Neurospora crassa OR74A: one gene and its partner. The protein of the gene in region 1 binds, or shares a complex with, the protein of each later gene. Links are inferred from orthologs where the notes say so. Each region holds a gene or a part of one and is shown on either strand. Other genes may lie near its edges.

The links. The genes of interacting proteins can lie anywhere in the genome.
Region 2: NCU09191 (region 1) and NCU00018 share a complex: the UniProt entries of both Schizosaccharomyces pombe proteins name them as parts of the ribosome quality control complex. The link is inferred for Neurospora crassa OR74A from reciprocal best matches to the Schizosaccharomyces pombe genes rqc2 and cdc48.

Annotation. Positions count from the first base shown.
Region 1 is NC_026501.1:5,772,304-5,775,962, reverse strand, and holds the start of NCU09191 (hypothetical protein), read right to left. Parts: upstream 2,863-3,659; 5' UTR 2,758-2,862; coding exon 1-2,757. UniProt on the Schizosaccharomyces pombe protein: Key component of the ribosome quality control complex (RQC), a ribosome-associated complex that mediates the extraction of incompletely synthesized nascent chains from stalled ribosomes as well as their ubiquitin-mediated proteasomal degradation.
Region 2 is NC_026503.1:2,304,929-2,308,678, reverse strand, and holds the start of NCU00018 (cell division control protein Cdc48), read right to left. Parts: upstream 2,575-3,750; 5' UTR 2,145-2,574; coding exon 2,089-2,144; intron 1,997-2,088; coding exon 1,969-1,996; intron 1,903-1,968; coding exon 1,847-1,902; intron 1,793-1,846; coding exon 1,543-1,792; intron 1,477-1,542; coding exon 1-1,476. UniProt on the Schizosaccharomyces pombe protein: ATP-dependent chaperone which probably uses the energy provided by ATP hydrolysis to generate mechanical force to unfold substrate proteins, disassemble protein complexes, and disaggregate protein aggregates.

The DNA of each region.
Region 1 (3,659 bases):
TTGTTGACGGCGGCGCTCGCGAGCGGCAGCAGCCTCGGCTTCTGCCTTGGCTTTAGCCGCGGCTTCGGCTTCGGCCTTCTGACGGGCAGCCTTGACACCCATCAGCTCTTCCATAAGGGCGCGGTCCTCCTCGTCTTGGTCCTTGTACTTGGCCGCAATCTTCTTTTGCTTGCCGCGCTGGCCACGCTTGGCGGGTGCCTTCTTCGCAGACTGTTGCTTTTGAGGGGCGGTTGATGACGAGGGAGTGCCGGTCTTTGCTGCAGATGATGGCTGGTTTGACTCTTCTTCCTCATCGTCGTCGTCGTCGTCCTCCTCCTCTTCATTTTGTGTTGCAGCAGGTTCCAGTTCCGCCGGCGACTTGATGCTCTCATCGGGACTGCTCACGGACTCCTCCTTGTTGATTTCAAGGTCTGCAAGCTCCTCCGTCGGAGGTTCTGTGCCTTGGGCAGCATCGCTTTCCACAGAACCGACTTGTCCAGATCGCTGCGAGTGCAGGGGATTGGCTCTTTCCTTCTGGTCTGCGGCGTCCTCGTCATCGTCATCACTCTCAGACTCTTCACCGGCCACTGGCTTCTGCTCGTGCGGGCTCTCTGCACGTTCTGACAGGGCATCCAGAGAGTCAGCGCGACCTTTTGTCTTGCGTTCTACAAAATCATAGACCCTATGGCGAGTATGCTTGGACTTGCTGTCGTCGGATACCCTGAAGAGTAGACCGAAACCAAGCGTCAATAGCGCCGGAGGCAGGAGGTTGCGCTTCCCTCGGACCATGAACGATCCTACCGGGAGGTATTCACCAGCGGGTGCGCTTTTCGAGACCTGGTCAGCATTGACCCACCAGGCCCCCATGCCAGCCTTGGAGTCCCAAGCACTAGAGCAGCATACCGACAAATTGCCAGCCTGAGCAAGCGTCGACGGCGGAATTGGTGCATCAGGTGTCTTTGGGTTATTCTTGATGATCACGCTTGCAGCTCCGTGAACATCGGCGTGAACGTAAACGTCACCCTTCCTCAGATACCGCTTGTACAGCATCTCGTTCTGTTGAGCATCACGGCCTCCGAGAACGAGATAACCGTCTGAGGAAATAAACCAGGTGAATTTCTCGAACCACATTTGCTTCCTGATGGGTTGGAGGACTGGTTTTTCTTGCTTGAGACCCTTTCTGAGATCTTCGGCGATCTTCTGCTCGGCATTTTTCAAGGCGATAACCGACTGCTGGACCGTCTTTTGCGCCTTGTCAGCAGCTGTTCGCTTCTGGTCGTAATATTCTCTGGCGTTGTTCCAAACGCTCAGTGTCAGGTTGATATCGACCTCAAGGCGTTTGACTGGCGCCTTGTCCTTGGTGGTGTCTGCCCCGTCGGCATCGTCTTCAGAATCGCTGTAATCGAACTCATCATCCTCTTTGTCTTGGTCAGCCTCGTCCTCTTCTTCCACGCCTTCTCCTAGCAGTAATGTGATGGTGTTCTCCTTCAGCTTCATCGGCAACTTGATAATTTCTGCGACGGGGTTACCCTGCTTCTGCTCCTTTTCAATTAGTTTCGTGATGTCAACCCAATCCATGCCTTCCTGTAGCAGGCCGTTCACGGCATCCATGGCTTCCTGGACACGTTCGATATTGGCTTGAATAGTCGCCGCCTTGCGGTAGTTTAGCATCTCCATCTCTTGCAGCCCTTCTATTCGCTTAGCTTGGTCCATACGAGCAGCTTCGAGCTTCCTCTTGGCAGCTGCCTCACGCTCGCTGAGCTTGGACTCTAGCCTTTGTCCCTCGAGGGATGAGAAGAATTCATCAACTGTTTTGTTGTAGCCGACGAACGGCAAGATACGATATGCCTTGTCATCCTCGAACTGCTTGGGTAGGAACGGCTGGAAGTCCTCGTAGAGGAGGGTCTTTGCTTTTTCGGCTGGTGGCGCATCGACGTCCAACTCTGTATCCTCAAACCCGGACCTAGGCTTGGCGATGATGTAACCATTGGAAACGGAGGAATCGGTGACCTCGTCAAGGATTTCTCGTGCTTGCTGGAGGGTGTCGAATAGCTTGTCTAGGAGGGAATCATCATCCAGGATTTCGGCAGGCTTGGTGGCTGGGTCGAAGCCGGTGAGGCGGAAGACGTGCTCGACGAGAATGGGCGGTAGCTCTGTGATGGTGGTCGCAAGGCCCCTTCGTAGCTCGTCGGCGCCCTTTTTCTTGATCTTCTTACCGGCAGCCTGATCAGCGGTTGCCTTTTGGACTGTGCTCTGCAGCGCATCCCTCAGACGCTCCTTGGTCAGGGCAGGAACACCTCCAAAGTTCTGTCTGTTTTCGAGCGTGTAGGTCAGACCAATGCGCTGGGGTTCCTGGCCTTCGCCCTCGGGAACATTTCGGAGCAGAGCCAAGATCTTGAGGTCGGCATCGGTAAGGATAATGTTGCCGCTAGCAAAGAATTCGAGGTAAAGTCGAAAAGCACCATCGCTGAACTGGAACTCAATGATGCGATCGGTGCCAATTTGCGAGACAGAGGTACAACGCCGGGTCTTGAGGTATTTGCGAAGCCTGGCGACGAATTGGCTGGGTGCCGGCGAAGCGGTGCGCACGAAGTCAGTCAAATGGCAGCGGAAACCGGATTCGATCAGGAGCTGCTGCCTGGTGTCGGGTTTGGCGAACTTGAGGAGGAGGATCTTGGAGTTGAGGTCGTAGATGTTGGCCAGGCGCAGCGACACCAGAGCTTCCGAGAGCTCGTGGGCCACCACCCTGACGTCGAGAGAGGAAAATCGCTGCTTCATGGAGGCTTATGGCCTTTGTGATCACCGAAGTTGAGCTCAATTTGGGCCGTAACGATATCAATAACGGGGGACGGTAAGGTCGGGTTTTCTCTAAATCGCTTCGGCCGTCCAAAACAATGCATCAAGATGTCATGGCGGGGTGGTGGGGTATCTGGGTACACTACTTTTGCTGGGCAAACAGTCATTCCCACACTCAATCGCCTGTGCAGTCTTGGCAAGAGGTGTGTGTGCGTGCACACACACACACACCGCATTTGACAAATCTGGCCATTTGACATCGCTTTACACGACTCAACTCAATCGTTTAATATCGAAATCTGGCCAAAACTAGTGCAAAAAGTCGATATTTTAATACTCTACGTCGTACAATTGTCTATTTTAATATTTACATTATCTTTTAAACCGTTATCAATATAGTACGCTACCCTAATACCCGCTAAAAGGTATTAATAATAATAATATTAGTAAATAACGAGTATCCTAATAATATTGCTAAGATTATTAGTGTAAGTATAAGGAGTATATAGAAATATAAGTATATTCTATTGGATATTAGTAAAGTATTTTTACTATTATAAATTTCCTAGAATATTAAAAAGCTTTCTATATAGGTATTTAAAGTATAGCGTATATTATATTATTCTTTATATTTTATTAATTGTAACTAATATTGTAAAGGAAGTTATAAACCTCCTTATATTGAAATTTAATTTATACTTTAATGAGATCTATGCCTTTTTAACTAACGAGTATAATATATATATTTCAATTAAAATTATACGGCGGTACCTTCGATAGGAGAAGTGGAAGAAGAAGCGATTCTATATAAAGGTATTATAATAATCCCCTATATTAGTAGTCGAATAGATATTAAAGGTCTTTTTATTTATTATAGAAATATT
Region 2 (3,750 bases), on another chromosome or scaffold:
AACAACACGGTCAGAAGCGCCACCAGCATCACCAACAGAGCCACCACGGGCCTTGGCGATAGAATCCAACTCGTCGAGGAAGACGACGCAAGGAGCAGCAGCGCGAGCCTTGTCGAAGATATCACGGATGTTGCTCTCAGACTCACCGAACCACATGGAAAGCAGTTCGGGACCCTTGACGGAAATGAAGTTGGCTGCGCACTCGTTGGCAACAGCCTTGGCCAACATTGTCTTACCGGTACCAGGAGGACCGTAGAAAAGAACACCGCGAGATGGCGAAAGGCCAAACTTGAGGAACTTTTCGGGATGGTCGACGGGGTACTGGACACTCTCCCTGAGCTCCTGCTTGACAGTCTCGAGACCACCGATATCCTCCCAGCGGACGTTGGGAACCTCGACAACGGCAACCTCGCGAAGAGCCGAGGGGTTGGAGACACCGAGAGCAAAGCGGAAGTTCTCTTGGGTAACACCAAGAGAGTCAAGGACCTCGGCGTCGATAGTGTCTTCGTCCAGATCGATGAGATCCATCTTCTCACGAATCTGCTGCATGGCAGCCTCGGAGCAGAGGGCAGCAATATCAGAACCAACGTAACCGTGGGTCTCAGCAGCAATCTGCTCGAGATCGACGTCATCGGCAAGCTTCATGTTCTTGGTGTGGATCTGGAGAATCTCAAGACGACCGGTAGGGTCGGGGATGCCGATATCGACCTCGCGATCGAAACGGCCGAAACGACGGAGAGCGGGATCGATCGAGTTGGGACGGTTGGTGGCAGCCATAACAACAACGTTGGAACGGGCCTTCATACCATCCATGAGAGTAAGGAGCTGGGAGACGACGCGGCGCTCAACCTCGCCGTTGGTCTTCTCACGCTTGGGGGCGATCGAGTCGATCTCATCAATGAAGATGATAGCGGGCGAGTTCTTCTCAGCCTCCTCGAAAGCCTTGCGCAAATTCGACTCGGATTCACCGGCCATCTTGGACATGATCTCGGGGCCGTTGATCAAGAAGAAAAAGGCACCAGTCTCGTTGGCAACAGCGCGAGCCATCAAAGTCTTACCGGTACCAGGAGGGCCATAAAGCAGGACACCACGGGGCGGCTTGATACCAATGGACTTGAAAAGCTGAGGATGCCTGAGGGGCAGCTCAACCATTTCGCGGATCTGAGCCATCTGCTTACGGCAACCACCAATATCATCGTAACCAACCTCGTTGAGGTTGTTCTCCTCCTCGTCACGCTGGATGGGCTCGCCCTCGCAGTGGATGACGGTATCCTGAGCGACAATACCGTACTCTGGTGGGTCCACCTCGACGACCTTGAACTCGACTTGCCTCATACCACCGCGGACAATAAAGAGATCGCCTTGCCTGACAGGGCGGTAGGCCTCGCGGAAGTAGGGAGCAAGGAAGACGTCGAAGAGAGATCCGGTGATGCCCTCAACGGTATCGGCGATCGGGAGGACGGCAATACGCTTGGCCTACAAGGAGATGCTGTGTCAGCAAGGTGCCCATTCTATGACTAGGTGACCGGGTTATAGACTAACATATTTGATATCGGGACAAGGGTGAATGGTGATGATGTCGCCGTGCTTGACACGGAGGTTGTGGCGAACGACACGGTTGAGGCGTGCGCTGCCATCGTCAAGATCGTCATCGGCAAGAACAATCAAGACGGTGTCCTTTCTCTTCTTTCCGCGGACGAGAACGGTATCACCACGGAAGAGCTGGAGCTGCTCCATGGTGTTGTTGGAGAGGGCGATAATCGAGTTATCATCGTTGACGGCGTCAGTAACCCTGCATATGTGTTAGCTCAGGTTGCAGTGCCCCGCATCTTCAACGTCAACCTACATCAACTGGTTGGGCTTCTTCTTCTTCTTGAGAATAGCAGTGGCGGTATCATCTTCCTGTTCCATCGGTCAGCACGAGTGGTTCTCGAGATGTCTTTGGCGGGCAAGCGAGGTTGAACATACGGCCTTGTGCTCGGCACCAGAAGCGTCCCTGTTTGGCTTCAAGTCAGCTTGGCGTCATTCGCGATGAGGGGGCGCGACAGCTTCGAGAGCTCCCGCGATCAGCGTCGCTGCTTCACGTACATCAAGTTGACCTTCTTCTTCTGCTCGACGTGGTCGGGATTAGGTTCGGGAGCCATCTTGACGTTTGTGTTGGAATCAGTAGAATAAATGTGGTATTTGGGTATCGCGGACGGTGATGCTAATCCACGGAGAGGATGTAGCGGGAAGAAGTGGTTTTGGAGAAAAAGAAACCAGAATTCGTAGCCTCAAGACCCGCTGATAAAGGGATTCTTTGGAGGTTGGACGGCGAGGTGAAGGTGAATGGTGTTGGGATGGAAACAAAAAAAAGGACCAGTCGGAGGGACGAAGTGCCTTTGCGTTTTGGTGTTGGAGTTGGTTTCGTTTACGTTCAGGTTGTCACGGCCAGGCATGGAAAGGACGGTTCGAGCCAAAGCAAGCAAGCAAGCAAGCACCGCTGCGCCGGCGAGTGGCACCGACCGCTTGCTCCCTCCAAGGCCAGCCAACCAGGGGCAAGCAGCTGGTGGCCAGCAGCTGGGGAGCGGCAACAGCAACAGCGGGCATCTGATTCAACTGTCAGTGTCACTGACTGACAAACCGCCCCGCCAGGCGACCATTTGGATGACGAAGTATGAGCGGAGCCTTTTCTGGGGCGACAAAGGTCCGTGCTTTTCGCCCATAGGTACACTTCCATTCTGCCACTCTGTCTGCTTCCATGCCCTGGCTGTTCCGGGCTCCAGGCACGCCTTCTGCCATCGCTCCGAGGATCTTCAGGTCGCCCGACACACCTGGTAAAGCAACGGTGCGGCCGGAACCTTCGAATGCGTTCTACAAAGCTGCTGACAGATCAAAGCTTCATCTTGTTTGACTTGGGGTTCGTTCCATTTCTTCAGTTCGAGATTTACAGTGAATCGAGGTTCGGATGCTGCAGCACCGCTCGAGCACCGATGTCCAGATGGCCAGGCTGTCAGGTCTCTCCAAGGAAGCGAGACATGCTGCCCTGGGATTTCCTATTTGCCCCTCCCCCGCAGTACGGACAACAAGGCGGTCAGTGGTTGTCGCATGCACCACCGGATGGCCTGTACAGAGGCCACAGGCCAACGATGCTGCTAGGTAGGTATCACAGAAAACGAAATGGAACAGGACAACACGCGGAAAGTTGGCAGGCTGCAACTGTCGTCTTATCGAGATTCGAGAGAGTCCGTTTGTCCGGACGTCGCAGGAACCCGCATGCCACTTTGGGTGGAGCAAGCGAGTGACAAGAGCAAACGACGACCCTCGACCCGACCGAGAACCGGGTCCTCAGGGGTTGTAGGACACGTCCCCGCCCGTGCTTATACGAGGCGCGCGCCGGCCATACGGCTCCGCCCCGGCACGCCGATACCCAGTACGTCCCGGAGTCTCTCCCCGGACTGCTCGGCGCCCGGCTGGAAGAAGGCGGGGCTAGAAGCCAGGGAGCTCGGTACCCTTGTAACGTACTACATACATACACTACAGTAGTGTAGTACCATGGGTGTTAGCTACCCCGCTGTACATGGTGACCCCAAAGACGCTGCGGCGCGCCGCCCACCTGGCCATTCAGAGTCCAAAGGGACCTCAAGGTCCCATAGTCCAATGCCTCCACGATCCGGATCCGATATACCGTTACTACCTACTGTACAACACGCATTGAGCCAGAATGGGGCTGGAGCTCGGAGGGTGTGGCATTTCCTTTCAGGCAACAGA